Linked DNA regions of Canis lupus familiaris. The protein of the gene in region 4 purifies or fractionates together with the protein of the main gene of each other region. This does not show direct contact. Links are inferred from orthologs where the notes say so. Each region holds a gene or a part of one and is shown on either strand. Other genes may lie near its edges.

Region 1 (7,276 bases), on a different chromosome or scaffold from region 4:
GCTTTTTTTCTTAATTTTCAAGTAACATTGCCTTTTAATGATCCAAACCGGAAGAAATACAGAGTAAGCCTTTCCCTAGTCCTATTAGATTGGAATCTAACTTTTAACAAATTCCCAGATGATAAGTAAATTCATCGAAATATGACAAGTACTGGACTAACCTAATATGACCAAAAAAGAGCCTATACACTTCTCTGAACCTGCCTCACCCCAGGCTTTGCCATGTAAGTAAATGGGATCATCCAGGTGTTAATGCCAAAAACACGGAGTCTTCTTTGATAGCTCCCTCTCCTGTTCCCCTCTCATCTAATCAAGCAGCAAGTCTAATTCCAAAATATATCTGCATCTGTCTCCTTCCATCCCTACACTCACACCTAAGCCACCATCTTCTCTCACCAGGACTACAGGAGCCAGGTCAACTTATCCGGGTATAGAAGGTGCAGTAGCTGAGCTCCACCATAATTTTAGGGACTCTCAAAAACATTTTAGTTTAAAATCATAATAAAAAGCAGGGATCCCTGGGTGGCTCAGCGGTTGAGCATCTGCCTTCAGCTCAGGGTGTGATCCCTGGGTCCCGGAATCGAGTTCCGCGTCGGGCTCCCTGCATGGAGCCTGCTTCTCCCTCTGCCTGTGTCTCTGCCCCTCTCTCTCTCTCTGTGTCTCCCATGAATCAATAAATAAAATACTTTTTAAAAACTATAATAAAACAGGGCAGCCCGGGTGGCTCAGCGATTTGGTGCCACCTTTGGCTTGGGGCGTGGTCCTAGAGTCCCGGGATGGAGTCCCGCGTCAGGCTCCCTGCATGGAGCCTGCTTGTCCCTCTGTCTCTCTCTCTGTGTCTCTCATGAATAAATAAATAAAATCTAAAAAAAAAAAAAAAAACTATAATAAAACAAAGGTTTAGGTCAAAACATGTCTTCATGTATAACATTAATATATTGGCCAGAAATCATAAAGTATAATTCTATAGTTAATTGTGAATTTTTACGTATACACCGATGTAACCACCTTCCACATCAAGATACTAAGTCATCCTTTTCAAAATTTTATTTCAAGTCATGACATTAAATCGTGTAACTTTACTGCATAAAATTGCATGAAATCCTTCCATGCTTTCCCACCCCCCTTGGAATAAAATCCAGGGACCCCCTAGGTGGCTCAGTGGTTGAGCATCTGCCTTTGGTTCAGGGTGTGATCCCAAGGTCCCGAGTTCGAGTCCCACATCGAGCTCCCTGCATGGAGCCTGCTTCTCCCTCTGCCTGTGTCTCTGCCTCTCTCTCTCTCTGATGAATAAATAAATAAAGTCTTAAAAAAAAAAAAAAAAAGGAATAAAATCCCAACTCCGAAACCTGGTTTACAAAGCCTCACGTGACCCAACTCCCCACTGCCTCTCACTGGGCCTTGCATCACTCTTCCCCTTCCCTCAGCATCCCCCAGCTACCAGGCCTTAAATGCCTCGACTGGTCCAGGAAGCTCCTACCCTGGAGCGTATGACCTGCCTGCATCCTCTGCCTTCTTCTAAAGCTCTTCCTAGGGATGTGCAGGAGGCCACTGGCGATCTGTAACCCGGATCTCTTTATTTTTTCTTTTTTTAAGATTTTATTGATCTATTCATGAGCGACAGAGAGAGAGAGAGGCAGAGACACAGGCAGAAGGAGAAGCAGGCTCCATGCAGGGAGCCCAACGTGGGACTCGATGCCGGGTCTCCAGGGTCACACCCTGGGCCGAAGGCAGGTGCTAAACCGCTGCGCCACGCAGGGATCCCTACCGGGATCTGTTTAAACGTCACCTCCCCAGAGGCCTTCCCTAGCCGGGCCATCTAAAGTCGCACCCAATCATCTGTGAATCCAAGCACCTTGAAATCACCTGCAAAGTGTTCATCCTTCCTCAACATTCATTCACAGCTTCCCGTCTGTCCTTCCTTCACTTGGACTAGAACGCCCTTCGCAGTTGTGTTTTCCGTCGAATCGAGAAATGCCAAGAATCGTGCCTGACACGTGGCAGGTGCTCCACGAACGCTTCCCTGGAATGACATCCTAATACGGGACACGATAACCTAGAATAAAACGCAGCGTTAGCTGGAGGAGGCAAGGATGCCACTGGGCTGTGAAATCCTAAGGGCCTGCATGTGGATGAACGCAGCTCAAAAAATGAAGGGCTACGTAGGTCAAAGCCCATGGCAATCAACTTGCTCGGTATTTGCTCCTTATTCCTTCTTTTTTTTTTTTTTTCCCTCCATCCTTACGCAAGACACCGGGTTTGTTTCGCTTCGACAAAAAGCAATCAAAAAAAAAAAAAAAAAAAAAAAAAACGTTCAGTAACTTAGCCACATCCGTCTCCACACGTGGAAACACCAAAAGTAAAGAAACTCAGCATCTTCCCTTTCCCTCCAAAGCCAATCGCAGCGCAGCATCCCGCGGCCCGGGCCGTCCAGGTCCCGCCCGCCTGGCCCCGCCCCTTCCGCTTACCCACCGCCCGGAAGTCCGCCGGGCCTGGGACCCGCCCCCTCGCCCGCGCGGAGCCCTGCGTAAAGCGAGAGGGACTTCGCGACAGCCCAGGCCCCACCCCTTTGGCCACATGTCGCGCAGGCCTTCCCGTCGGACGCCGCGCCGCCTCCTCGCGCTGCTTTACGAACCCAGAGCGGCGCCGCCCCGCCCCCTCCCCCTCCCAGCTTCGCCTCTCCTAGCCCGACGCTCCCGCTATAATCACGTGATCGCCTCATCCGGGTCCTTTGCGTTCTCTCTCCCTCTCCCAACATGGCGGCCTCAGGTGAGTGAGCGGCCGAGCGCGGCCGAGGACCAGGCTCGTTCGCCGCCCTCCGAGCCTGATCCGCGGGCTCCCCGGAATCGGGGGACGGGCGGCAGCGCTCTCCTTCGGACTGCGGGGCTGCGGCGGGCTGGCGGCTCGGCCACGTGAGGTTATCGCCTCGGGATGTCGGGGGGGAGGGGACGGCGTCCTTCCCCTCCCCCTCACACCCTTTTCACCCCGTCAGCGCGAGGTTGGAGCGGGGAGGAACGCCGGCCTCCGGCTTGGGCCCGAGCGACGGGGCGCGGGGAGGAGGCTCTGCGGGAGGCGGGGGCCTCCTCGTGGGCGGTTGGCGCGCGGGCGGGCGCACGGCGGGCGACGTGTGCGAGGCGCGAGGCCGCGGCGGGCGGGGTGGGGGTGGGGTGGGGGCGGGGGGGCGGTTAGAACGCGGCGGGGAGGGCGCGGCGCGCGTGCGCGGTAGGCCGGGCGAGGGGCGCGGGCCTGGGGCGCGGCGGGGGCGCGGCGGGGCCGGGGGCGCGGCGGGGGCGCGGGCCTTGCTCTGCCTCCCGCCTGCCCTTGCGCTCGCTGCGCTCCTGTCGCCCGGTGCGGCCCGCTGCCCGCTGCTCCCCGAGGGTGGACGTCGCGGGGGTGGGGGTGGGGAGCCCGGTGCGGTGCGCCCACGTGTCGGAGCAGCGCGAGCGAGGATGGAGACCCAGATGGTCTGGAGGCCTTTTTTTTTTTTTCTTTTTCTTTTTCTTTTTCCCTCCTCCTTAATCAGTACGCCTTTACTGATCAGAAAGCAAGCCAGGCATGTTCTAGGTGCCGGGGAGGGACCACACACACACACACACAAAAAGGAGGGGGGGTGAACAAGATCAGATCCCTTGACAGCTTCCATTTTTGGTATATTTTGATAGGTCCGATAGTAGAAGTCAGCTTTTCTTTCTCTTTTCTTTCTTTTTTCTTTTTTCTTTTTTTTTTTTTTAACTACTGGGGAGTGCTTTTAAAATATTAGTGGATACAGTTGGGGTTTTTTTGTTTTGTTTTTTTGTTTGTTTATTTTAGAGGACTTTGGAGTAGGGAGTATCAGTCAGTGTCCTGCAAGTCTGCATTTCTCAAGGACTTGGCGATGGGTTTTGGGATATTTTCAGCATTCGCTTTAGTTTGGGGGATGATAATTTATTTCTCTGGCATGATCATGGGTTCTGCAAAACATTGCTTGCTATCCCTAAGATACTCATTTCTCATTAGAAATGGATTTTCTGGGGATTCCCCGGGTGGCTCAGTGGTTGAGCGTCACCTTTGGCCCCAGGGCGTGACCCCGGGTTGCTGGATCGAGTCCCACATCGGGGTCCCTGCATGGAGCCTGCTCCTCCCTCTGCGTGTGTCTCTGCCCCTTTCTCTCTCTCTCTCATGAATAAATAATTTTTTTTAATTGATTTTCTTTGTCAACCTAGGACACTAAGAATTAGGTATGTTTTTGGAAAATGTTGAGGGAATTGAGGTGCGCTTGAATATTATAATACTTTTCATTTGTGTAGCACCTGACAGTTGACCAGGCACTCTTGTGTATGTATGTTCTCATTTGATCCTCTGTTAGATAACGTGGGCAGATGGTGGTATCTCCAGCAGAGAAAGATTAAATTGTTCAAGGTCACATGGCTGCAGGTAGCAGAGCAAGGTCAAAATCTTGGAGACTCCTGACTGTCCTCCATTATCAACTTGGAAATTACAAAGTTGGCTTCCATGTGATCGTATTTTGGGGATCTACCCAAAAACTTTATCTGAATTAGAGTACTTATTTGGCCTGGATTTGCCATCTTGACGGCTTGGTGCCATAATTTAGTGAAAAGCCCATAATTCGTTTTTCACTAAAACGTGGCTTTTTTAGGGGTGGAAGACACGTTGGCAGTCTGTGCCCTGCATTTTACAGAACTGAGCGAAATCTAGACTAAAGGGATTTGCTTGGTGTCCACTTCTGTTCTTCCACGTTTACCCCCTTTTTGAGCCCCTCATCTCTTTACTTGGGTTCCATAAATCTTCTTAGCTTTGTAGTATGTGTAAGAAACAGTATCTTGAGTACGAGGTTACATCTGACAGTCTGCCCTTGGGGAATTTGGTATTTATCAGACTTTTCCCACTTTGCATCCTTTCCAGTCTCATTGGTTTTGTTGAGCGGCCAATATTACCAGATACAGCCATGTTAATGAGACTAAAATTCTTGGTGTATTTTCAATATACTTCTTGATGATGCTCAATGTCTTGTTGAAAATATATCTTATATTTCTCAGTGAAAATACCCTTGATATGATAGAACTTCACAGGCCCCTTGTAAATGAGACCAAAAAATTCTTTGCAGCAATACCAGTATCCAGTTGACCCTTCGATTTTCAAGAACCAAAAGTGTCCCAAAACGGACTATTGAACTGCTCTCCTTACTTGAGACAAATGCTTTCAAATTGGAAATAGTGGTTGTATGCACAGAAGACAGAAGGCCTTTCACTTGTATAGCACTTGAAAATGTCATCTTGTTTAATTATTTTCACAGGGATAGAATAGTTGTTTACATACAGTGCTTTTCCTTAAAGAGTAACATAGTTTCATTATATGCTGTTCACATACAGGTTTCCCCTGCTCTCCAGGGGTAGAGCATTTTGTAAACTGGAATGGCATAAAGCAAAGAAGCGATGACCATTAGTTTTTAGGGAAATTTTTTGGAGCATTCCTGGTACCTTGGGGTGTATCTTGCTAACAAGATAAAGCACAGATGTTCACAGACAGTTCAAAGTTTTGGTAGTTTGATGTTGAGTATAATTCTGGGGGAATGAGCTTGAACGTGGCACACTGTTGAAAGTGTGTGCTGCCTGCATTATGGCTTAATAGCAAAACAAACACCTGATGCTGTTTTTTGTTTTGGTAAGAGCAAAGATTCTCTCTAGGTTTCTTTCAGTTAGGGAAAACAGGTAATGATGTAAGTCTTTCATAAAAGCAAAATGGCATAATGCAGCCTTTTGAAAAGCAAGGGCTGGGGATCCGTCCCGCATCGGGTTCCCTTCCCTGCATGGAGCCTGCTTCTCTCTCTGCCTGTGTCTCTGTGCCTCTCTCTCTCTGTCTCTCTCTGTGTCTCATGAATAAATAAATACTTAAAAAAAAAAAAGCAAGGGCTACCTATATTACTATTTTTTAATTCCATTCTCTACCATATGTTATTCTGGGAGTAGGATACCCAGATTCAGAAAGCCAAAACTAAACTGTATGAAAATTTAAATGCAGATACAAGGAGTGTCAAAGTAAAACATAGTGTTTCTATGTAGTTCTTAATATATATATGTATACTTTTAGGGGTGCCTGGGTGGCTTGGTTAAAGCATCTGACTCTTGATTTCTGCTCAGGTCTTGATCTCAGGGTCATGAGAGCACTGAGTCAGCTTGAGATCCTCTCCCTCTCCACTCCCCTCCCTACTCACTGACTCGTGCACACACTCTCTAAAATAAAAATAAAGTCTTTAAAATATATATATATCTTTTTTAAACAGCTTTTTAAGTTCAAATTTACATACCATATGTGTATGGCTTGACAGTATATCCTACCACTTTGTTCATACTAGTCTCATAGCATCTTAGAATGTATTCACTTTTTATGAAGATGGGGGAAAGAATTAACCTCGGAGTATTGTTTTTTAAAAATTAAGTGCATATTTCTAATTAATTATATGTGTGTATACTTAAGTGCACACACCAAAGTCAATTTGTGTTTTTACATCAACAACCATATTGAGTGTGGAAAGGTAAGGGGAAGGCAGTATGGCATTTTCCTCCCACTGTCAGTATGAAGAAGTTGAGTCATGTAACTGAATTGGTGAGGTCAAGGTGGTGCAGCTTACTCTTACTTGGTTTTTATTCTCTACTGTGCTCAACTGTAGTGCAGTAAGGTGAGGCCTGTGGACATTATGATATTACATTGTATGAAACCTCATGGCTTGGCTTTAAACAGCAGCATAATTAATTTAGTTCTAGGCACTCTAGTATAGGTGGACTGATTTGCATTTATACGGTATTGTTTCTTTAAGGGAACATTTGTTGATCATTATTCGTTTTTAATTCTGCAAGATTTGGCAAGATTCACTTTCCAGAAAGAAATGCCTTGCCGTATTAGAAGTCATTTCTTCCACCACCAGCCCCCAATCTGTTTATTTGTATTTACCTATTCTTTTTTTTTTTTTTTGTATTTATCTATTCTAAACATAAAAATGAAATCATACAACGTGGAGACTTTTGTTACTAGCTTTTTTCATTTAGCATATTTTCAGGGTTTATAACATTGTGGGATGTATGGGTACTCATTCTTTTTTATTGTAAAATCTGTTGTATGAATATTTACATTTAACTTATTCATTCATTGTTTGATGGGAATTTGAGTTGTTTCCCGTTTTTTTCCTATTATGAATAACGCTGCTGTAATCTTGTCCATACAAGACAAGTCATTTTTATGACATTTTCTGACTTCTTAGCCTGTAGATACTAACATTCAG
Region 2 (7,440 bases), on a different chromosome or scaffold from region 4:
GATTGGCCTGGGATCCAGGGTGTGTGTCTGTGTGTGTGTTTTTTGCACACTTTTTTTTGCATCAGCTCTCCTGTGTGACTTCTAACAATCTGTTCTTTTGCCCCCTTCATAGCAGAAGTCCCTTGTTAAGGGCATGCCTGGGTATACACTCAAGTGTATGGTTGGAAATTTTTTTTAAGTACTGAACAGTATCAGACACTTAGTACTGTGCCTAATAAATATTTGTTGAATTCTGTTGTTGTTGTTGTGATGGTGGTGGTGGTGAGCTAAAAGTTTCATTAAAAAAAAAAAAACCCAAAAAATAAAAAAATAAAAAAACCCCACAAAACTCACTTCCCAACAACAACAAAAAGAATTATTTCATTGTGAAGTTCAGTACCACAAAATTTTAAATAATTCAACACAAGCCTCTTTAAAAAAAAATTTTTTTTCCCCAAAGTAAACAGACAGACAATGTCAAGTCTATTTGAGATGCTTGAGAGACAAAGGGATTCAAGGCAGTAGGAGGATATGCCTGTCCTCTGCTGAACATTTGACAGTGCAGCCTTTGGGTATGTGTATGTTGGGGATGGAGGGAGGTGCGGTATGAAGAAAGGAGCTAGGGAGGAGGGGATTGGTCCTGGGGTCTTGGCCTTTGTGTGGCCCCCCCCTGAGATCCAGCTGCAGTCCTGGCTTGAATCCACCATCAGGCAGGCAAGGGAGTCTGGTGCTGTGCCCTTGCACCCCTACCTGGGCTCCTATGCCAGCAGTAGAGGAGAAGACCTGTCCTCCCTGAGGTCAGCTGTGTTAGAGGAAGAAAACGGGGCATGTCTGGGCAGAGATTTCCAGACACTGAACAGTCCTAGATGTCAGTAATTGTAGCTGCTCCAAGCCTGGGATCTATTTCTTAGTGGTATTTCTGTTCAAAGTAGCATTCTATTCTTTGAAATGTATTTTTAAAGATTTAAAAATTTATTTTATTCTATTTCTTTTATTTTTTTTAACATTTTTAAATGTATTTATTCGTGAGAGGCACAGAGAGGTGGCAGAGACATAAGCAGAGGGAGAAGCAGGCTCCCTGTGGGGAGCCTGATGTGGGCCTTGATCCCAGGACCCCAGGATCTCGACCCAAGCCAAAACAGATGCGCAGCCCCTGAGCCACCCAGGCTCCCTATATTTCTTTTATTTTTTAAAAGTAAGCTCTATGCCCAACAAGGGGCTTGAAGTCAGACCCTGAAATCAAGAGTCACATTCTCTCCTGACTGAGCCAGCCAGGCACCCTCCTCTGTTCCCCGCAATTTTTTAAAAGCAAAACTACAACTATATTAAGTGAAAGAAGGAGGCAAAAAAGAAGTACAAGAGGGGCTAGTGGTGGCAAGTGGGTGGGAGGAAATGGGCACCTCGCTTGCTTTTGTACCAGCGGCAAGCACCAGTGGACATTTCCAGAATTGTCTTTCATCAATGCCACCTCAGTACACTGCCTGAAAATGAGGAGTGCTGGGGGTTTCCCTCTTTCTAGAGCCACTTAAATAGAGAGGGCAATGAGCAGAGAGCTCTGAGAGGCACTGGGCCTATGCTCCAATTATAGCTGTTTATTTGCTGTGTGACCTGAGTCAGGTCACTGAACTTCTCTGAGCCTCAGTGTTCCCAGCAGCGTAAGCGGATTGTGCGGGGGAATATCCAGGAGATAATTTGCTAACCAAGTCCTTCCCCCTTCCTAGCTATCAAATCTGTTGCAATCAGAGGTGCCTGGGTAGTTCAGTTGGTTTAGCATCTGTCTTTGCTTCATGATTTTGGGGTCTTGGTATCCAGCCTGGAGTTGGGCTCTTTGCTCAGCAGGTAGTCTGCTTCTACCTCTCTCCCTACTTCTCCCCCTTCCTCTGCTCCTGCTCTCTCTCTGTCTCATTCATAAATAAATAAATAAATAAATAAATAAATAAATAAATAAATAAATAAATAAAATCTAAAAAAAAAAAATATGTTGCGGGATCCCTGGGTGGTGCAGCGGTTTGGCGCCTGCCTTTGGCCCAGGGCGCGATCCTGGTGACCCGGGATCGAATCCCACGTCGGGCTCCCGGTGCATGGAGCCTGCTTCTCCCTCTGCCTGTGTCTCTGCCTCTCTCTCCCTGTGTGTGTGACTATCATAAATAAATAAAAAAATAAAAAAAATCTGTTGCAATCATAGAGATCTCTATTGTTGAGGTGAGAAGGAGGTGGATGTGGGCACGAGGAGGAGGGGTAGGGAGGTTGGTTCAATGTCCAATTTCCCCCATTTCCTGCTTTCCCCTGGAGACCTGGTTGACCTTTTCTGAGTATTCCCCATTCCCTCCTTCCCCGGGGGCATTGGGCGAGCAACAACTTTGCATCCGTTTAGTCCTGAGGTCCTTAATTTCTTCATCTGTGAAAGAAGGGGGATCGAATCCGGTTCTGGTCTCCAAGATGCTTTGTTGGCGTGTCTGGGTGCTTGGGAAGAGGCGGTCTAGTGAGGGGTCTGTGGGAAGACTGGCGGTATAGTGGGCTTTTCTGGAAATCGCCGAGCGAGGCACATCCTTTATGCTTTTATTTATGGAGTGTTATCTATGAATGTCACCCCTCGTGATCTTCTCGGGGCCAGAAGAAGGGCTCATCCTAAGAATGCCATCCCTTCGTGGGGAGTGCCAACTCCCAACCCAGCGAAAACAACCCCGGTCTGTGGCTCAGTTAGTGGGGAAACATGTCAAGCACAGGGACCCAGGCGCGGGGCGCGGGGCGCCGGGCGCGGGGCGCGGGGCGGGGAGGGAAGCGCCCCCCTGCAGCCCGCGGTGTAGGCGTCTGACTTCGGAGGTCTCCAGCCGCCGGCGAGTTGCGAGCTGCGGCGGCGGACGGCGGCAGAAGGGGCGGTGCCAGGCCTGGGGGCGGGGCGGCCGGTCCCTATATAAGGCGGCACCGGGCGGTGCCAGCTCGCGAGCTGCTGCGGGAGACGGTGGCTTGGAGAGCGGAGGCGGGCGCGGATTCGCGGAGCCGGAGACCCTCGGAGGAGGTGAGGGCGTTGTGGCCGGCGAGGGGGCCTGGGCCGGCGGCTCGGAGCCCGGCCGAGGTGTCCGCCTCGTGTGTGTGTGTTAGTGTCCCAGCGGGTGAGTGTGTGCGTGCGCGTGCCGTCTTCACAGGTGAATGACGTGCGTGGGTCGGCGCGTGGGGCTGGGCTCGGCTCCCACGGGTGTCTCCGGAAGGTGCGCTTGTGCCGGAGGTCGGGCTGTGTCGGAAGCCCGGGGCGGCGGGAGCGCAGCAGAGCGGGGGATCCCCTGCCGCGCCCCCCGCCCTGGAGCCAGGGGAGGCGTGGACTCGCGCGCCCCAGGCCCCCGGCGGCGCGCGGAGGGAGCCCCCGGGCGCGGAGCCCCCGGAGGGGCGGGGAACGCCGAGCCCGGCAGGTTCACCGCCCTCCGCTCCCGGCGGCTGCGATCCAATCCGCGCCGTCTCCGCCCAGACCCCTGCGGCCGGGGTCCCCGACGCCTCCGCGTCCGCCACCGGCTGGGCGCTGAGGTCAGCGCGGGCGGCGTACCCCCCCCGGTCCTTGGGAACGTGTTGGGACACATCCTTTCAGGGCAATCGAGGAGGTGACTCACGGTGACAAGGAGACCCCGGGAAATGGGACGGGTGCGGTCAGAGCCCCGCCCGGGCTGGGGGACAGTGGCGCCCCAGAAGTCGGCTTCCTCCCCGCCCCGGGTGTCTGTGCCCCGATCGGCACAGTGACTGTTTGGCTGGCACAAAGTGTTCTCAGGGAAGCCGGGACATCGGGAGGTCCAGGACTGGGTGTCCGGTCCCCGCCTCGCAGCGCGCCCTCGGGGACCCGGAGCGGTGGCCCTGCGCGGGCTGGGCTCGCTCCAGCCGGCCCGTGGGAGAAGAACAGGGGTCGGACACACCTGTCCTCCTTCGCGCCCCGCCTGCCCTGGGGTCGGGGCGCCGCATTCCGCAGCGGGAGGGGAGACCTGCGCCGCGGGGCCGCGGGGCGTGCAGCCCACGCGCGGGGCGAGGGACCCGGAGAGGTCCCATCTGGAGGCTGGTCCCACCCTGACGGCCACATCCGGGGGCTCCCGGCGCCCCTCGCCAAACTGCCCTGTCCGAGGGCGACTGCTCAGCGCGCAGCGAGAGGACGAGCCGTCCTTTGGGCGCCGCCGCCCAGCGCGGGCCACCGTGCACCCCCCCCCCCGTCGGGGGCCCTCGGGGGACACGGGCGCCCGCCTCTTGCGGAAAAGAATCTTGGAATTGGGTTTGGCGCTTTGGGGTGCCCGGGCGGCTCCCTCCCTGCCCCCCCTTCCCTGCCTCCACGTCGCGGTTCGAGGACTGTCGAGCGGTTCTGTTTTCCTTGCTTTCGTCTATTTTTATTTTCCAGGGATCTGACTCATCCCGTGCTTTGGGCGTGGAGATAAGGTGGAGGGACCAAACCTCTGCGCGCCTCTGCGTGCGGAGTGTGTGTGTGTGTGTGTGTGTGTGTGTCACGGAGGCGCGCGCGTTTTTCCAACAGTGGCGGGGCTTTCGGAAGCCTGGCTGGCTCAGCGTGACGTGTTCGCGGCCCCCGGTCCGCCCCCCGGTCCGCCCCCCGCCTCCCCTCCCCACCCGAGGGTGACGCTGCAGCCCGAGCGCACGCAGAGTTGTGGCGGGCGGGGAGCGCTCCGCAGGAAACTGACTCATCGCTGCTCGCGGCGGCGGCTCGCGGCTCTGCCCACACGCCGACCCTGCGCGTGATTTCCTGGAGACCGGCGCCCCCGTCCGGCCCCGAAGCGAGTAGCAAGCCCGCCTTCCCTTCCCGCCTCGCTGCGCCGCGGCTGAGCCTGAGCCGCAGCTGCGAACGCCCCTGAAAAAGCATGACCCGTTGGCTCATCGCGGGGTGCTCAGTGCTTACTGGTTACTTCGGAATTAAAACTGGCTGAAGTCTAAGACACGAAGGCCAACCAAGGATGCTATTCTCGGTTGTTTGTGAAATAAGGGTTTATATTTGACTTTTCTCTGAACTGGGAGTTACGATAATGGGAATGAGATCAGATTTTGATGAGGAGCCTATGAGGGCCATAGGGTGGTAGGAGAGAGGATCCTTGCCTGGATTCTGGTCCCATCTTGAGCGCCTAGAAGCCTGGGAATACTCAGCCTCCTGGTGAAAAGCCAAGGCAGGCTCCTCCTCCTTGTGCCAGTGAGGCCATCCTGTGTATCCTCTCTTGAAAGGCACCCCAAGAGTGCCCATATGGGGAACTGCCAAACACCTGCTTAAATCCCCTTTATTTTATTATTTTTTAAGATTATTTATTTATTTATTCATGAGAGACACACAGAGGAGGCAGAGACACAGGCAGAGGGAGAAGCAGGCTCCCTGCGGGAAACCGGCTGTGGGACTCTACCCTTGAACTCCGGCATCAGGCCCTGCACCGAAGGCAGATGCTCAACTGCTGAGCCAACCAGGGGCTTAAATCCCCTTTAGTTTGAGTTATTCTGGGAAGAGAGGGACCTATCAACCTGTATTTTTTAAAAAGCTCCCTAAGTGATTCTGCTGGGCCTCTGGTTAGGAACACAAAACTAGAGAGGGAGTAAGGATGAACACCAGAGCACGGAACCCAGGATAAACAGGCCTGGGTTCAAATCCTGGCTGTGCCACTTGTGAGCCATGTGACCTCGGGCAAGTTACTTTACTTCTCTGAGGTCTTAGTTACTTCTTCTGTTAAAAAAAAAAAAAGACCAATATACCCACTCTTTAGGAAAATTAATATTTATTAACTTAGAACAGCCCCTGGCACATAAAAATATATAAATAAATCCTGATGCTTGCCCTAAAGAGAGTGGGTGAAGGTTATTTGAGGGCTCCGCCCACTGTGCTGTGTAACCCCTCTATGGGGCAGTGGCCCTTGGCCTTTTTAGTTTTCTGATTTGGGGGCAAGCCTCGTATCTCTCTAAACGCTTGCCCTTTAAACTTGGTCTGAGGTCACCTAATGTGTCCTCTCTCCTATAAGCTGTGGGAGGTGGGGTGGGGAGGGGGAGCTGTGGCAAGGGTCCAGGGCTTCCTGCCCCAGGAGGTCACTCAGCAGAGCTTTCACCCTCAGAGCCTGCAAAGCAGGACTTGTCCTCGGGGGAAAAGCCAGTCCCTGCCAAGGTTGCAAAGCCGCTCAGCCCTGGAGTCAGGCCAGAGCAGGGCAGGTAGGTGCCAGCACTTCGTCATGAGCAAACTCACCCTCGGTTTTCCCTCTTCTGAAGTGAAAGGAGAGGAACCAGGTAGACCGGTCAACTCTAATTTTCTTTGCCCGCAAAACGGGTTCCTCAGATGCAGCTAACACAGGCAGAGGCTTCCAGGCTGTCTAGACTTCAGATCACCTGATGTGCCTGGCAGGATGTGGCTCAGCCTGGGAGAAATCATCACCCTGGCCTGCCCTGCCCAGCCCCTCCTCACCTCCAGGCCTCCCGCCTGATGACATCCTTGGGAAAGGCCCCCAGCACACAGCACCTGTCAGCTGCTGTCTGAAGGAGGTGGTGGTGGGGGAAGGGGGGGAAGACTCAGCCAGAACTGAACACAGAGAAATAATAACACTTCTATATACCAGCTTCTATATACCAGCTGCTTCTCTGCCTGTTACCTACGTTAACTCAGTTAATCCTCACATCTGTCCTCTGAGACATTCACTATTACTGTCTCCATTTTACAGATGAGGCAAATAGAGTTGAGAGAAGTTAAGCTATTTGTGCAGGGTCACCCAGCGGAGCCTGGATTCCAACCTAGGCAGTCCTGCTCCAGAGCCCTCACTCTTAACTACAGGATAGAGCCTCCACCTCTGTTCTATTGCCTTGCTAGAAGGGACTCCCTGACCAATTGCTTGAGCATGCTTGCACAGCCCCATTTTTTTATAGATGAGAAAATTGAGGCCCAGAGACATTAAGTGACTTTATTTTTTTAATCTTTAACATTTTTAAGTGACTTATTTTTAACAGATTTTATTTATTTATTAGAGAGAGAGAGAGTTGTGCACAAGCCGAGGAAGAGGCAGAGAGAGGGGGAGAAGCAGACTCCCTGTGGAGGAGGGAGCCCAATGCAGGGCTCCATCCCTCAGGATCATGACCTGAGCCAAAGTCAGACACTTAAACAACTGAGCCACCCAGGCACCCCTTTAAGTGACTTTAAAGTTTATGTAATACGCAGCAGAGCTAGGAATAGATCCTAGGTGGGGTTTTTTTTTTTTTTTTCTTTTTATCCCAAAACCCTGGGGGTACTTTTGAATTTCAGAACAGAATTATCCCACATGGGTATCTTGGTAGAGGGATTCAGGAGGCCAGAGTTGCTGTCAGCCTGCCCTTTCATTTGGGACCTGACCTTTTGGTCCGGGCTGGGGTTGGGAAACTACTGGACTCTGGTAATTCACACCCATGAAGGACACCTCGAGGGGGAAACTCATTGATTTTAGTTGATAATACTGGTGGTAAACAGGACTCCGATCCTGCTAATGCAAT
Region 3 (7,376 bases), about 37 Mb from region 4:
CCACATCGGGCTCCCCATAGGGAGGCTGCTTCTCTCTCTGCCTATGTCTCTGCCTCTCTCTCAGTGTCTCTCATGAATAAATAAAATATTTTTTTCAAAAAATCTATATAATAAAATACTTTGAAATTATCAAAATTATGACAGGTTTTTATAACAGTTTTGATTCTCATAGCATATAATTCATCCATTTAGAATGCCTAATTCAGTGGTTTTTAGTTATTCACAGAGTTGTGCCACCATCACCACTATGTATCTTAGAACTCTTTCATCACCCCAAAAGAAACTATATTCATTAGCAGTAACTACTCATTTTCCACTAACTTTCCCCAACCAAGCCCTAAGCAACTATTAATCTTTCTGTCTCTAAAAATATGCCTAGTCTAGACGTTTCATATTAATGGAATCATACCATATGTAGTCTTTTTAATTTTATTTTTTAGTGTAGAATGTCTGGGAAGTTACAATTATCTACCTATCTCCAGTATAATTAATGTACAGTGTTATATTAGTTTCAGATGTACAAGAGAGTGATTAAACAAATCTATACATTACTCAGTGCTCATCATGATAAGGTACTTTTAATCTCCTTTACCTGCCCAACCACCTACCTCCCCTCTGGTAACCATCAGTTTGTTCTATATATCTAAGGGTCTAGGGGTACCTGGGTGGCTCAGTTGGTTAAGTGTCTGCCTTCAGCTCAGGTCATGATCCCAAGGTCCTAGGGTTGAGCCCAGTGTCAGGCTCTCTTCTCAGCAGGAAAATCTGCTTCTCCCTCTCCCTCTGCCCCTGCTCCTGTGCGCTCTCTCTCTCTCTGGCATAAATAATTTTAAAATATTTTTAAAGTGCCTGTTTTTTGTCTTTTTGTCTTTTTTCATTTGCTTTGTTTCTTTTTTTATTTATTTTTCATGAGAGACACAGAGAGAGGCAAAGACATAGGCAGAGGGAGAAGCAGGTTCCCAGAGGGAAGCCCAATGTGGGACTCTGGGATCACGCCCTGAGTTGAAGGCAGACACTCAGTCACTGAGCCACCCAGGCGTCCCATTTGCTTTGTTTCTTAAATTCCACATATGAGTGAAATCATGATATTTAGTCTTTTCTGATTGGTTTCTTTTATCATTTTCTACAGTGCCTTCACCATTTGACATTTCCACCATCACTGTGTGATTGTTCCAATTTCTCTACATATTTGTCAACACCTATTATCTGTCTAAATAAATAAATTTATTTCTAAGTGTTTTATTTGTTTTGATGCTATTTTAAATGGAAACATTTTCTTACCTTCCATTTCAAATTTTTACTGCTAGCATATAGAAATGCAATTGATTCTTATATTGACCTGAACTCATTTATTAGTTCTCATAGCTCTTTAGTGGATTTTTTGGGATTTTTTATATATAAGGTCATGTCATCTGCAAATAAAGGAAGCTTTATTTCTTTCCCTTACAATCTGGATGCCTTTTATTTCATTGTACTTACTTATAAGTACTTGATTACGTCAGAAAATAAGAATCTTCATTTTTTAACTATTTAATTATACAAATATAATTTCCATAATAACCTATTTTTCACTACTGACCAGAGATGGATTCTTATCACATACTAAATACTTTTATACTTGGGTATGTTAGTGGGATCTCTGTGTTTTATTCCTCCTGCTATGCTTATTCCAATACCACATTGAGTTTAGCTTGTAGCTTTATAAATCATTCTGCTTCCTTGAAGTGTGAGTTCCTTTATCAGGTATAAATGAAATCCAAACTAGGTAAGATAAAGTAGCCAACACAGTGCCTGGCACTTAGGTGGTATTCTCTAGAGGGCAATACCACATCCTGTGGTTATCCTTTGTGTCCCACCACCCATAGTAATTGTGATTTATAAATAGTTAATAATTTTTACTTTTTTTTCTAGAGCCCAACATTTTAATTATTTTTCTTAACCAAACATCCAAGGATAACCAGGGTAAACAATGTATTAAGAAGATATGTAATGAAATCTGTACTGATGGACAATTGTGATATTCCATTTTTCCATTACATACAAAGCCTACATAATTGATACTGTATTCCCAGTTCCAGCAAAGAATAAACGCATAACAAACAGTTATTATGGGAATTTAAAAAATACAAAGCATTTTTTAAAACATAAGATTAGTTTTAGCACATTATTAATTCTCTCCATGGGTAAATATTAGAAGGAAATACTGAACCAAAATGTCATATTTAGGATCCCTGGGTGGCGCAGCGGTTTAGCGCCTGCCTTTGGCCCAGGGCGCGATCCTGGAGACCAGGGATCGAATCCCACATCGGGCTCCCGGTGCATGGAGCCTGCTTCTCCCTCTGCCTATGTCTCTGCCTCTCTCTCTCTCTCTCTCTGTGACTATCATAAATAAATAAAAATTTTAAAAAAATGTCATATTTATTTTATTTTATTTTATTTTATTTTATTTATTTTATTTTATTTTTCATATTTATTTTAAAACAATTTACCAGCTTACTTTTCAGAACATTTTTTTTACCATACCACTCAAGAGCAGGAAAGAGTGCATATGTCCCCAATCCCTTAAGAAATCGGTATGCATTTTCAGATAGATCAATGGTTTTCCTTAATTGTTCATGTCTTTGTTATCTTATTTTTAAAGGCCTTCTACACAAAAAGCTTAAGTGGAAACAGAGACTACTTATTCAGAACTTGTTATAACAAGGCAGTCAGCCACCATTACTTTTATTTGGCAGAGACTGGAAGTCTCTAGGGAGTGGAAAAACTTTAGCTCAAGCAAAAGAGAAGACTAAGTATTATTCTCGGATTGGAGATTGTTGGCATAGGGTTGCTAGAAGCAGGCTAAGAGAACATCTTATGTGATTGGTTTGGGGAGCATATGTGGATTTCTCTTGTTGAGAGGGGTTCAAAAAATAGGGAGGTTGTCAATCGTTGATCAGAGGCTGTGGTTTGGCTTCCTGAGGCTGCTTGCTGCAGAGGTTGCGGTTCTCAGTTCTATTGTCATGTACGATCAGGTCATTGTCTGTTGTATATTTAGTCTCTCACTTAGAAAAAAAATTGTTCTTTTATTCTGCTTCAAATATAATTTTAGTTTTAGATTTCAATAATTAGAAAATGTATGTGCGCATGTCAGGAAAAAGGAATAATTTCATTTTGAGGGGAACAGTTTCCTAATTTTTTTCTAAAGTGCAATATTCTGGGCACGTGGGTGGCTCTGTCGGTTGAGCCTCAGACTCTTGATTTCCCCTCAGGTCAGGATCTCAGGGTCCTGGGATGGAGCCCGGTAGGGGCTCCGAGCTCAACTGGGAGTCGCTGGATGCCCCTCCCCCTTTATTTCTCTAAAATAAAAAAATAAATCTTTAGAAAATAAAAGTGCAATATTCTATGTACGACATTAAAGTTCACATTCATACGATTTCATTGGCTGGCTCTAGTTCTTTCAATGGAAATTAAGAGCAACATGGTCAAGACTCCTCCCCCGCACCGCTCAACCCATTAAAAAAGCCTCTGAGGTTTTTATTAAATTTATTCCTTGGATCACCTCAAGAAGAGAAAAAGGTCAAAACTGCCCAGAGAGGTGCGGGGTGACCCGCAACGCCCCCCGCCCCGGCTGCTGGGCGGGGCGGCAGGGGGGAGGGGGGCGAGCTCCGGTGACGCGACGCTCACGTGACCAACCCGGCGCAGATCTGGGCACCAGTCCGGGAGCCCGCCCTCTTCCTTGCGGTCGGATCCGGAGCGGTTTGCTAGCTCTTAATTGTTGCTCCAGGTTCTTTCAGGTCAGTGTGAGGGCCTTCGTCGCTGCCTGCGGAACCCTGGAATGGGGGATGGGGGTGAGGCACGGACACGGAGAAGAAAAAGGGTGGGAATGGGGTCCGTGTTGAGAAAAGCTGGCGAGAGTGTAGGTAGAGATGGCGGTGGGAAAATGGCTAAAGGGTGAGCTAGCGACCAATCGGCGGAGGGTCGGAAGAGCGGACACCCCTAGTACCCGTGTCCCCTTTCTCCTCACCTCTTCGCTGCCCTCCGTCCATTTTGGAGCCGGAGCTGGTGAGCTTGGGGGCGCCCCGCCAGTGAGACAGTAAAAATAAACCCCCTTTCCCACTCCATGCGTAGAGAAAAAAAGTTGACCTCGAGAGTGGGGAGGCGAGTTGCCTCCGGGGAAGAAGGACACAGAGATCCAAAATTAGTTTGGAAAACATCCTGGTCTGGCGCCGGAGGCGTGAAAAGAAATGGCGGCTGGGGTGTGGGGGGCGGAGGAAGTGGGGGAGGGAAACGTTGGATGAGAAGGGCCGGGATTCTGGAAAGGGGCTCCGAGTCCCTGTGCATCCACCCGAATGCGCAGCCCCTGTGTCCTGTCTTATCTGCAGGTCTGCGTGTCTGTTCTCAGCACTCTGCAGGGCTAGAAAAGGACGAATCTGCTCAGAATTCCTGCAGGTCAGTGAAGAAAGGGGTCTCTGGGCAGGGATCCAGGGGGGGTGGGGAGTGTGGAGGGTAGAGCACCAGCAGAATATGGGGCACCACTGCCCACCTCCTAACACATTTATACACGCTGCTGTGCTGAACAAGCATAGAGAAAATGGCTGGGCTTGCCAGAGAAATGGTTGGCTCATGTGTGTGAGGGGAGAGGGTGGGCAGAAGGCACACGGAAAGGCCGGGCCAGGTCAGGGGAACCCTGATAAGGGGAAAGATGCCAGTACTATCCAGACCTGCATTCCACCCCCAAGCCCTGTTTCCTTGTCTCCTCTTTGTCTCCTCTTCCTCCCCACCCTAGGACAGGAAAAGGAGGGGAAATCTCAACATGGAAAAACTCTGCAATGAAAATGAAGGAATGACTGAGAACCAAGGAAAGATGGAATACAAAGAACAGCCACAGGATGTGGAAGAACCCGAAGTAGATTGTACTCTGGAAAACCAGGAAAAGTTAGAAAATGAGAGAAAGACAGAAGATGAGGAAATACTAAAGGATAAAGAAAAGTCAGAAAGTATGACAAAGCCAAAGGATGGAAAGCCAGCGGAGAACGAGGGAAAGCCAGCGGAGAGCGAGGGAAAGCCAGCGGAGAGCGAGGGGAAGCCAGCGGAGAGCGAGGGGAAGCCAGCGGAGAGCGAGGGGAAGCCAGCGGAGAGCGAGGGGAAGCCAGCGGAGAGCGAGGGAAAGCCAGTGGAGAGCGAGGGAAAGCCAAAAGAAGAAGGAAAACCGGTGAGTGAGGGAAAGCCAAAAGAAGAAGGAAAACCAGTGAGTGAGAGAAAGCCAAAAGAAGAAGGAAAACCAGTGAGTGAGGGAAAGCCAAAAGAAGAAGGAAAACCAGTGAGTGAGGGAAAGCCAAAAGAAGGAAAGCTAGTGAGTGAGGGAAAGCCAAAAGAAGAAAACTTAGAGAGTGAGGGAAAGCCAGTGAATGAGGAAAAGCCAAAAGAAGAAAAGCCAGCCATCGAACCAAGGGCTGCAGGAAAGCGCCCAGCTGGGGATGATGTACCCAGGAAGGCCAAAAGAAAAACCAACAAGGGGCTGGCTCAGTGCCTCAAGGAATATAAGGAGGCCATACACGATATGCATTTGAGCAATGAAGAGATGATAAGAGAATTTGATGAGATGGCCAGGGTAGAGGATGAGGTGAAGAAAACCAGACAGAAATTGGGGGGGTTTATGTGGATGCAAAAAAGTTTACAGGACCCCTTCCACCCGAGGGGCCCAAGGGAACTGAGGGGTGGGTGCAGGGCCCCACAGAGGGGCTTTGAAGACATTCCTTTTGTGTAGTGCCCTTGGCAGGCATTTGCCCTGTGCTTTAACCTTATGCTAATACTTGCTTTAGCTATCACTCTGTTATCCAACTGCAACCCTTGATGTTTCAGTAGATTTTTGTCCATTGCATGGAAAAATGTTTATGGCATATTGTAAAATTAAAAAGAAGAGTTTGATGAACCATATATATGGCATCAGTCCATTTTTGTAAAACTACGAAGGTATTTACTTAGTGATTTATGTACAGAGGAAACTGAAAGCTGTGTCCTGGTTATCTGTGGCTGATTTTTTTTTCTGTTCTTTTTTGTTCATTGTATATTTTCTCCTAAAAAACATAGATTACTTTCATTATGAAAACAATATATACCAAGCAATCAAAATAACTGTTCGTTTAGCTTATGAATACAGTGGAGACACCAAAAATCCTTGGTCAGTATATAAAATGTTTTGTAAAATTCATGTTTGAGACTGGAAGCTGGAAGACTCAACCTGGCCGTTACTACAGATCCATTGCTGTAACAGTCTTGTCATCTTATCAAATGGGATAATACTTGCCTTCCAGGGCTGTAGAGAAGATCAGATGAGGTAATACTAGGAGCTGTGTTGATCTGGCTCCAACTCTTAGCCTTGCAGTAGCAGAACCAGAACTCTGTCATATGTTTAGGGGAGCTATAAAAGACATCTCACTTGTGTCCAGGAGTAAGTCAGATAAAAAGTGGGTATCACTGTCCCCAGGGTAATGCCATGTCTCTTGGGCACTGTGCTCCTTCTCAGGGGCTCTGTACCCTCCTGAAGCCCCAGCTGCTACTGGTGGGCTGGAGACCACAATGGACTAAAGCAACGGTGTCTCAACAGAAAGATGGAGAATTCTCTACCTACAACAGTTACCCTAACTCAGGTGGGTATTACCCGATTGTCATAGAGCCTTGATATTTTATAAAGTTTTTAGAAAACATTCCTTTCCAGACTTTTTGTTGATTTGTGTGTGCTTTTGCATATAGCCATCTCCACTGGATTTAGATACTGGAGATTGAGCCAGAAAAATCTGACCAGATGCTGTGCTGTTCTCACCTGTTAATCTCTTGTCTACTGATACTTCTCTTAGGGAATTGTCTCAAGAAGTTTGTGTTAAGCCCTGCCCTACCATTTCAACAGATCCATCTATCTATGTGATCCCTGCCCCACCCCCAACTCTTCATTAGCCTTTTACTTTTAGTGTTTTTTAAATACACTTTCATTTTAGGAGTTATAGATTTACAGAATTATTGCAATAATAGTACAGAATTTCTGTATACTTCATACCCAGTATCCTCTATTCACATCTTATGTTAGTATGGTGCATTTGTTACAATGAACCAATATTGATACATCTTATTTAATGTCCTTTTTCTGTTCTAGGATCCTATACAGGTTACCACCTTACATTTAGTCATCTTGTCCATAGGCTCCTCTTGGCTGTGACAGTTTCTCAGACTTTCCTTGTTTTTGATGCCCTTGACACTTATGAGAAGTACTGGTCAGGCATTTTGTATAATGTCCCACAGTTTTGGTTTGCTTGATTTTTTTCTTGTGGTTACATAGGCATTAAATGCTTTTTGGGAAGAACACCAGGAAGGAAGTGCCATACTCACCACATCATGTAAAG
Region 4 (7,314 bases):
TCCTCTAGTTTCTCTCATGTGTGAAGAAAATTGGTTATGATAACAATATACATCAATTAATTTACTAGATACAACGATCAGAAATAGAAATCTAGACATAGGGATCTCTGGGTGGCTCAGCGGTTTAGCGTCTGCCTTTGGCCCAGGGCGCGATCCTGGAGTCCCGGGATTGAGTCCCACGTTGGGCTCCCGGCATGGAGCCTGCTTCTCTCTCCTCCTGTGTCTCTGCCTCTCTCTCTCTCTATGTCTATCATAAATAAATAAATAAATCTTAAAAAAAGAAATATAGACCTAAATGAAGAGATAGGATTTCTGACTTATCCAAAGCTTTGTTAGCTTAGCTTATTCAGACGGTAAATCTAATAGCATGTTGCTCTAAGCTTACCATTTATGTATCCGTATAAGCCTAAATAGATGTACAGAGGCATATAAATGAATTATTTACTATAAAATATTACATGAATAATGTACCAAAGGAGGGAGGGATCCCCTTTTTTTCCTAACGACTATTGTTGATTTGTCTTTACCAAATTCAGAATAATAATACTGTTAAAATGTTCTTTTATGGGGATCCTTGGGTGGCTCAGCGGTTTAGCGCCTGCCTTTGGCCCAGAGCGCGATCCTGGAGTCCCAGGATCGAGTCCTGTGTCGGGCTCCCGGCATGGAGCCTGCTTCTCCCTCTGCCTGTGTCTCTGCCTCTCCCTCTATGTCTATCATGAATAAGTAAATAAAATCTTTTAAAAAATGTTCTTTTATGGCTAAACTATGTTTGAGAGATAACACAAAGATTTGCTCCTTTGACCTATAAAAGGAATGGCAATAGGCATAATTAAGTTTAATTAAAATTCTCCAAATTTCAATGAACTTAAAACTTTTATAAAAGCTCTTTTATTTTCCAAACTTAGTATTTTCTTTCAATTTTATTAAGTTTTTAATTTTAATTCTAGTATAGTTAACTCAGTTTCATGTGCACAATATAGTGATTCAATAATTCTATATACGTTACTCAGTGTTCATAATGTACTCTTTAACAAACAATGTTTTTTAAAAATGACAAATCAAAAAGCAAATTTATCTTCCTAGCTTAATTATATTAATTATAATTAGATACACAAATATCTTTCAATAATTGCCTATTTTTCAAGCTAAAAAGCATACTCCTGTTCAAGCAACAAAGACTGGTACATTTACTGTCTACCAAAAGATTTCCCACTCCAGGACTCTAAACTCATAAATTCTCTCCCCCCAGTTCATGAAAAGTCTGAACAAGCACTAGGGGGACCAACTCAATGACAAGGGAATTGCCAGTCTTTGTTTATTTCAGTCTTTCATTATATCCAGAAATCAAGGGATAGCCACCTTGTTTAAGAGCTACGCAGCAATCACCAAAGAAGTGAAAACTGTTGATTTAGTTCTAGCATCTTCGTTACACTTAAAATGGTCCTCCATGTTGTACAGACTTCTCCACTGACAGAAAAGGCTCAACATTTCTAAGGCTAGTCCTTCACCTCTAATGGAACACTGTCACTTTCCCTTCACACATCACTATCCACTCTGCAACACTGAACCCAGCCACACTCCTTCTTTTACCTGAACAAAGAATCTCTTGCCTGCTGCTTACCTGTTAGAAAACTACCCACACCCTGCACAAACCATCTAGAGACTCCCTTTCCTCTCCCTGATTTAATTATGTTTGTAGATGGTTCATCCTCAAAAACTGGAATTTGCCAAGGAAGCTATACTATCATAGATACTAATTTACTCTTAAAATATAAGCTTCTCCTAGAGATTTAAATCAGTTCAGATTTAATTATGTTTGTAGATGGTTCATCCTCAAAAACTGGAATTTGCCAAGGAAGCTATACTATCACAGATATTAATTTACTCTTAAAATATAAGCTTCTCCTAGAGATTTAAATCAGTTCAAATTACTTCCCCTTGCCCAGATCTGCCAGCTGACGAAAAGAAGGTGTAAAATATTAATATTGGTATTAGATATGATTTGAGGATTATTAGTCTGTGACTTTGTAAACACAAATTTCCTGACCACTGCAGCAAACCTCTATCAAATGAACAACAAATTAAAGAACCTTGAGATGCTTTGCTCTCACCTAAGTAGATAAGCATTTAAAAAATGGAGCTATGGAAAAATGCTTCATGGTATCAGCTACAATAGCAGAGATAAACTGGCTTTAATACTGAACCAACATTGGTGGGGTAATTTTTTTTATTGACAGAACATAATTCTATTTGTTTATTTATTTTATTGGAGTTCAATCTGCCAACATATAGCATAACACCCAGTGCTCATCCCGCCAAGTGTCCCCCTCAGTGCCCATCACCCAGTCACCCCAACCCCCCGCCCACTTCCCCTTCCACTACCCCTTGTTCATTTCCCAGAGTTAGGTGTCTCTCATGTTTTGTCATCCTCACTGATATTTTCACTCATTTGACAGAACATAATTTTAAAAATTCACATAAAATTAGCCATTTTCAAGTGAACAGTTTGGTGGCATTTAGTACATTCACAATGTTGTGCAACCGTGACTTCTATCTAGTTCCAACACATTTTCAACACCCAAAAAAGGAAATCCATACCGGTGGGGTAACTAAAGGGTACTGTCACAAGGAGGCTGTAAAGGCATGATGCATCAGGAACCAAAGCCCCCAACCCTGTTTGAACACATCCAAATAAACTATAAAAGATGATCCAGTTATTGTTTATTTTCAACAGGGTGGAATGAGGCTTTTCCTTGCCCGAGAGCTACAGCACAACAGTTAAAAAAGAAAAAAAAAGATTTCGTATTCTCTATTTGGGGAATTTCAATTTGTCTCTGAACTCTCCAGTAACAGGGAGAGTAACACATTGTGATTAGAGAACTCTAAAATAAGCAAAACTCACTCAGAACAGCCCTCAGGTGAGAGCATGCCTGCGGTGTCTGAGGAACAGGAGTCCAATATGGCTGGATGGAGAGAGTTGGGGGGGTGGGCAGTGGTAATCAGAGCAGGGGGACCAGACTTGCTAGTCGTTGTAAGAATTTTAGCATTTACACTGCACGATGGGACGCTGTTAAAACGTTTTGAGGAATGAATGGCTATAATATGTTTTTAAAAGAATTACCGCATACGGAAAGAGAAAAATACTACCTTTATAGTGGAGAAACAGGGCAGATACCATCTTCACCAAATGTTCAAGGTTAACGTCACCAATGACGTAATGTGGATACCGTATACCACCTGATATGATGCAAAGGGCACACGGTACGCCTCTAGGCATAGGATTTCACATATATCCTCCATGAAATGAAAGCTTAGACCACAAATACTATTTTTTTTTCCACAAATACTATTTAGGGATGCATACAAAAGCGGAAAAATGTTAACAAATTGAAAACTTCAGAATAATAGTGGCGCAGGGAGAGGGATTTCCATCAGGGAGGAGATTTCTTAAGCTAACGGTCTGAAATCTTAACCTGAATGGTGAATTCACAAATTTTTATTATTCTTTTATTTACTTTGAAATAGACTCAGAAAAAAATTGCAAAGATAATATAAAGAATTCCCGTATACCCTTCATCCACATTTCCCAAATTTAACATTTTAGCCATTTGCCTCATCGTTTCTTTAAATACATCTTTACATACGCTATTTTTTCCCGACCATTTGCGAGTAAGCGGCTTACACAATGGTTCTTTATCCGAAAAATTTCAGCATGTATTCCCTTAAAAAAATTCTCTTTCATAACCACAATTATCCAAAGCAAGAAATTATCACTACTAATATCTAATCTACAAGCCTCAGTCAAATTTCATCAATTTTCCCATTAACATCTTTTACAATAAAAAAAGAGAAATCAATCTTATGAGAAAAATCCTGATTTTTAAATAATTTATTTTTCTGCTCCGGGATCCAATGCAGGATCACACATTGCATTTAGTTATGATTCTTTAAATCCCATTAATTCCTTCAATCTGGAACAGTTCTTCATCCTTTGTCTTTCACGACCTTGAAATTTTTGAAAAGCACAGGCCGTTTATTTTTACAGAATGTCCATCAATCTGGGCTACGTAAACGTTTTATGCAATCTTTTTAGGTCTTACGTATATCACAATTTAAAAAATGAGATGCAACTTGGCGAGAAATAAAATAAACCCAGAAACAGTGTATTTCAAGTACTGGTTAGCCAAGAAATCAGTAAAACAAGCCAATTTATCAAGACACGCACTGACATTTTTTAAAATAACTATTTCTCCTGATTACAAAAACGAAGCAGTACTAAAACACAAAACAAATGTAATAGCGAAGGCCCCTCCCGTGCCAATCACCTGCACTTTCTCCCGTCCTGGGAAGAAGGCCTCGGCCAGAGGCAAAAACCTCGCCGCGTCACAAACTTTGCTCATTCGCAGGCGCCATTTTCTGCTTCACAGGCACTACCTCCCCTCTGCAGTCTTTCCTTGGCCTCAGGACACGCCCCTCAGCGTCCGTCACAAGCCTCGTTCCCAGGCGCCAGCTCCCTCCACCACGCAGGCTCCGACTCCTTCCCTCCGCCCACAGCCCCACGGCTCGGATTCCGCTCTTCTGCCTGACGTCATCCCCGCCTAGCTCTCAGGCGCGGAGAAACCGCAGGCCGCCCCGCCGCCAGATGCTACTCAACGCCACGCAGACCACGCCCCTCGGCCTCGGGCACCGCCCCTTCCCAGGTTGCGAGTTCCATCACGCACTCCCGGCCCCACCCCCTCGCCTCTCCAAAACAAACCTCCAGTTCTCAGGCCTGGGGCACCACCATACAGGCCCCGCCTTTTTCCCCAGACAAGGTGATCCACTCACAGGCACTTCCCCGCCCCTCCCGTCCTCAGTCTCACAGGCCACTCCCCCACCCCCACAGCAATTCTTCGGACCTCAGCCTCCACGTTCCCCCAGCCGAGGATCCGTTCGCAGCCCTGTCTCACCAGCTTTCGCCCGCACGCAGTGGACGCTCTCGCCCACTCTCGCTGTTCTCGATTTGGCGCCACTGGCTCTCCAGGCCCGGCACCGCTTCGCGCTGCGGCTCTCGGTCTTCAGCCGCAGCCGCCACATTCGCTGCGACCGCCGCCATCACCGTTCGCCCTCCTCTCACAGCCACCGCAGCTGGAGATAGGAAGAGGCCCCTCAACGGCCACTTCCGGATTCTGGTCCCGGAAACGGAAACAGAGCCCCCCAAACAGCCAGGGGGCTACTGCCATCTTGGAAAGGGACCCCACGCTCGCACGCGTGGACCGGCTAGGCGGGCGTGGGACTGTGGGCGGTGATCCCTGCGGCCAATGGGCGGGGCAAAACCTCCAGTTAGGGACTAAGGAAGACAAAGGTGCCTTGTAGGATTTTAAAGCCATGTTGAGTCAGGGCAAAAGGTGGTGTGGAAAGGTGGAGGCTGAGGTCCCGTTATGGACGAGGACATTTTGGGGAGTGCTCAGGGACACGAAGGTTCCGCGCTTTCTCGGTCCCATGCTTTGCTGGGAACCACGGCCCCTACCCTGAGAGTTTTTGTTAGCCTGACCAGAATGCCCTATTCACTGCGCTGCTCTTGTCCATCAGAACCTAATACAAAAAAGGTCACCACCCAAGCCTACGGGCTGCTTCCCTGCCTGAACTAGATTTATTTTCCTGACAAACGTGTTGAAGGCAAGTCAGCTTCAGGCCCAGTGTATTTGTTGGCATTATAGCAATGATAACTAATAATAGTTGGCCCTGTTTAAATGCTTTATTGCACGTAAAAGGTAGCCTTAGGCAACAGATGAACATCACCGTCCCCTACGGACATCAAAGGGGCAAAGTGAGGACCAGAAACATTCATTTTGCCCCAGCTAGTAAAAAACACCGAGCTGTGGTTCGAACTCAGAGCTGTGACCTTAAGCACAAGGCCAAACTGTGGTTTTAGGCTTCCTACTGGTTCAGGAGACCTTCTCAGGAGGATTCACAAAGTCAAAACTATTTTCACAATACTTTTTCATTGTCAAGCTGTCTTGCGTGTGTGATGGAATATTCTGAGAGGCTACATAAGCAAAAGCTCTTTAGATGTCCTCAATTTTTAAGACTATTAAAGAGATCATGACCAAAAAGTTTAGAACCATTGCCCCAGGCCAGGAGTTCTCAATCAAGATCTATTGACATTTCTGTTGTGGGAAGCATTGTAGGATATTTAGTTGCATCCCTGCCCTTTACCCACTGGATAGCAGTATCATCCCCTAATTGTCTCATCACCAAAAGTGTCTCTAGACGTTGCCAGTGTTCCCTGGGGGTGGAGATCTCTGGTTGAGAACCACTTCACTAGGCTCTGCCATCCTTTTCTGCTGAGGCTTCTAGCCCTACCTCTTGTTGATAACTTTAGCATTTCACACTCTGGCTCTCTTTATCTACCTGTGTTGGCTGCCCCACCTGACCGTCTCACATACTCCCCCAAGATGGGCTCATGATTCTGGCTCTGGTTCAGTGACTTATTCTGGCTCTGGTTCAGTGACCCATTCCCACAAGCAAGACCACACAGCTTGCCTTCCTATACCTCTAGGCTGGTGCACACAGCTCCCTGGGCCTGGAGTGTCCAGAATACCCTCACCTCTCCCTGAACAATTTCAAATCCCACCCATCCACTAGATACCATAACTCTTTTCAGTTAACCTCTACAGGGCAGGGATTGTCTTTATTACTGTGATTCCAGCCCCTGGCCCAGACCTGAACAGCCGTGGGGTTACAACTCAGTTGTGTAAATTCTGGGGAGGGAAAGAGAACAACCCTTTCATCCAGGGTTCTCTATAATGGCATGGAATTTGGTCTGGCACATGGCAAGTAGCTGCTTTTGAAGCCCAGCTTAATCTGGTCAGGTCCTCTGAATTGCCTTTCCTCATTGCCCCTCTGCAGACTCTCCCTCCCCATTTATTGGATAGCCGGTCCTTCCTACAATTCAAGAGGCCTCCCTTCCCAGGCCTAGACTGTTTGGTTTCCTCACCTTCCAAAGGCCAACCTCTGCACACAGCAATGACCCTACCACTTCCCAGAGCAGATGTGTAAATTCCAGCCTTTCTAAGTTTGGTTTGGCAATCCTGTCTCCCTTTGCAGGGTCCTCATTTTCCCAGCATCCCTTGCTGCCAGAGGTGGCCATATCATCTTATTCTAGCCATAGAATGGCTCGAGAAGTCTGCTAAGAAGTTTGTGGAAGGTTCAGCCCTATTACAAGGAAATAGGGTGTCCGGTTTTCCTCGCTTGCTTCCCCATCTCTGGGAACATGGCAGCTGTCATGCAACCATAAGGCTGCAAACCGAGAGATCACCAAAATGTTTACAG

The links.
Region 1: the proteins of USP11 (region 4) and EIF4B purify together in Homo sapiens (affinity purification with western blotting; 3 studies listed by BioGRID, with this or other methods). This does not show direct contact. The link is inferred for Canis lupus familiaris from reciprocal best matches to the Homo sapiens genes USP11 and EIF4B.
Region 2: the proteins of USP11 (region 4) and CDKN1A purify together in Homo sapiens (affinity purification with western blotting; 4 studies listed by BioGRID, with this or other methods). This does not show direct contact. The link is inferred for Canis lupus familiaris from reciprocal best matches to the Homo sapiens genes USP11 and CDKN1A.
Region 3: the proteins of USP11 (region 4) and TCEAL4 purify together in Homo sapiens (affinity purification with mass spectrometry; 3 studies listed by BioGRID, with this or other methods). This does not show direct contact. The link is inferred for Canis lupus familiaris from reciprocal best matches to the Homo sapiens genes USP11 and TCEAL4.

What each region holds. Positions count from the first base shown.
Region 1 is NC_049248.1:44,498,041-44,505,316, forward strand, and holds the start of EIF4B (eukaryotic translation initiation factor 4B), read left to right. Parts: upstream 1-2,618; 5' UTR 2,619-2,756; coding exon 2,757-2,769; intron 2,770-7,276. UniProt on the Homo sapiens protein: Required for the binding of mRNA to ribosomes. Functions in close association with EIF4-F and EIF4-A. Binds near the 5'-terminal cap of mRNA in presence of EIF-4F and ATP.
Region 2 is NC_049233.1:5,925,351-5,932,790, forward strand, and holds the start of CDKN1A (cyclin-dependent kinase inhibitor 1), read left to right. Parts: upstream 1-2,878; 5' UTR 2,879-2,998; intron 2,999-7,440. UniProt on the Homo sapiens protein: Plays an important role in controlling cell cycle progression and DNA damage-induced G2 arrest. Involved in p53/TP53 mediated inhibition of cellular proliferation in response to DNA damage.
Region 3 is NC_049260.1:77,556,479-77,563,854, forward strand, and holds TCEAL4 (transcription elongation factor A protein-like 4), read left to right. Parts: upstream 1-3,623; 5' UTR 3,624-3,773; exon of another isoform or gene 3,774-3,774; coding exon of another isoform or gene 3,775-3,809; exon of another isoform or gene 3,810-3,827; intron 3,828-4,003; coding exon of another isoform or gene 4,004-4,604; exon of another isoform or gene 4,605-4,647; intron 4,648-4,765; 5' UTR 4,766-4,792; coding exon 4,793-5,746; 3' UTR 5,747-5,916; downstream 5,917-7,376. Other genes in the region: uncharacterized protein LOC111094751, read right to left, coding at 3,775-3,809, 4,004-4,604. UniProt on the Homo sapiens protein: May be involved in transcriptional regulation.
Region 4 is NC_049260.1:41,026,647-41,033,960, reverse strand, and holds the start of USP11 (ubiquitin carboxyl-terminal hydrolase 11), read right to left. Parts: upstream 4,643-7,314; 5' UTR 4,326-4,642; intron 1-4,325.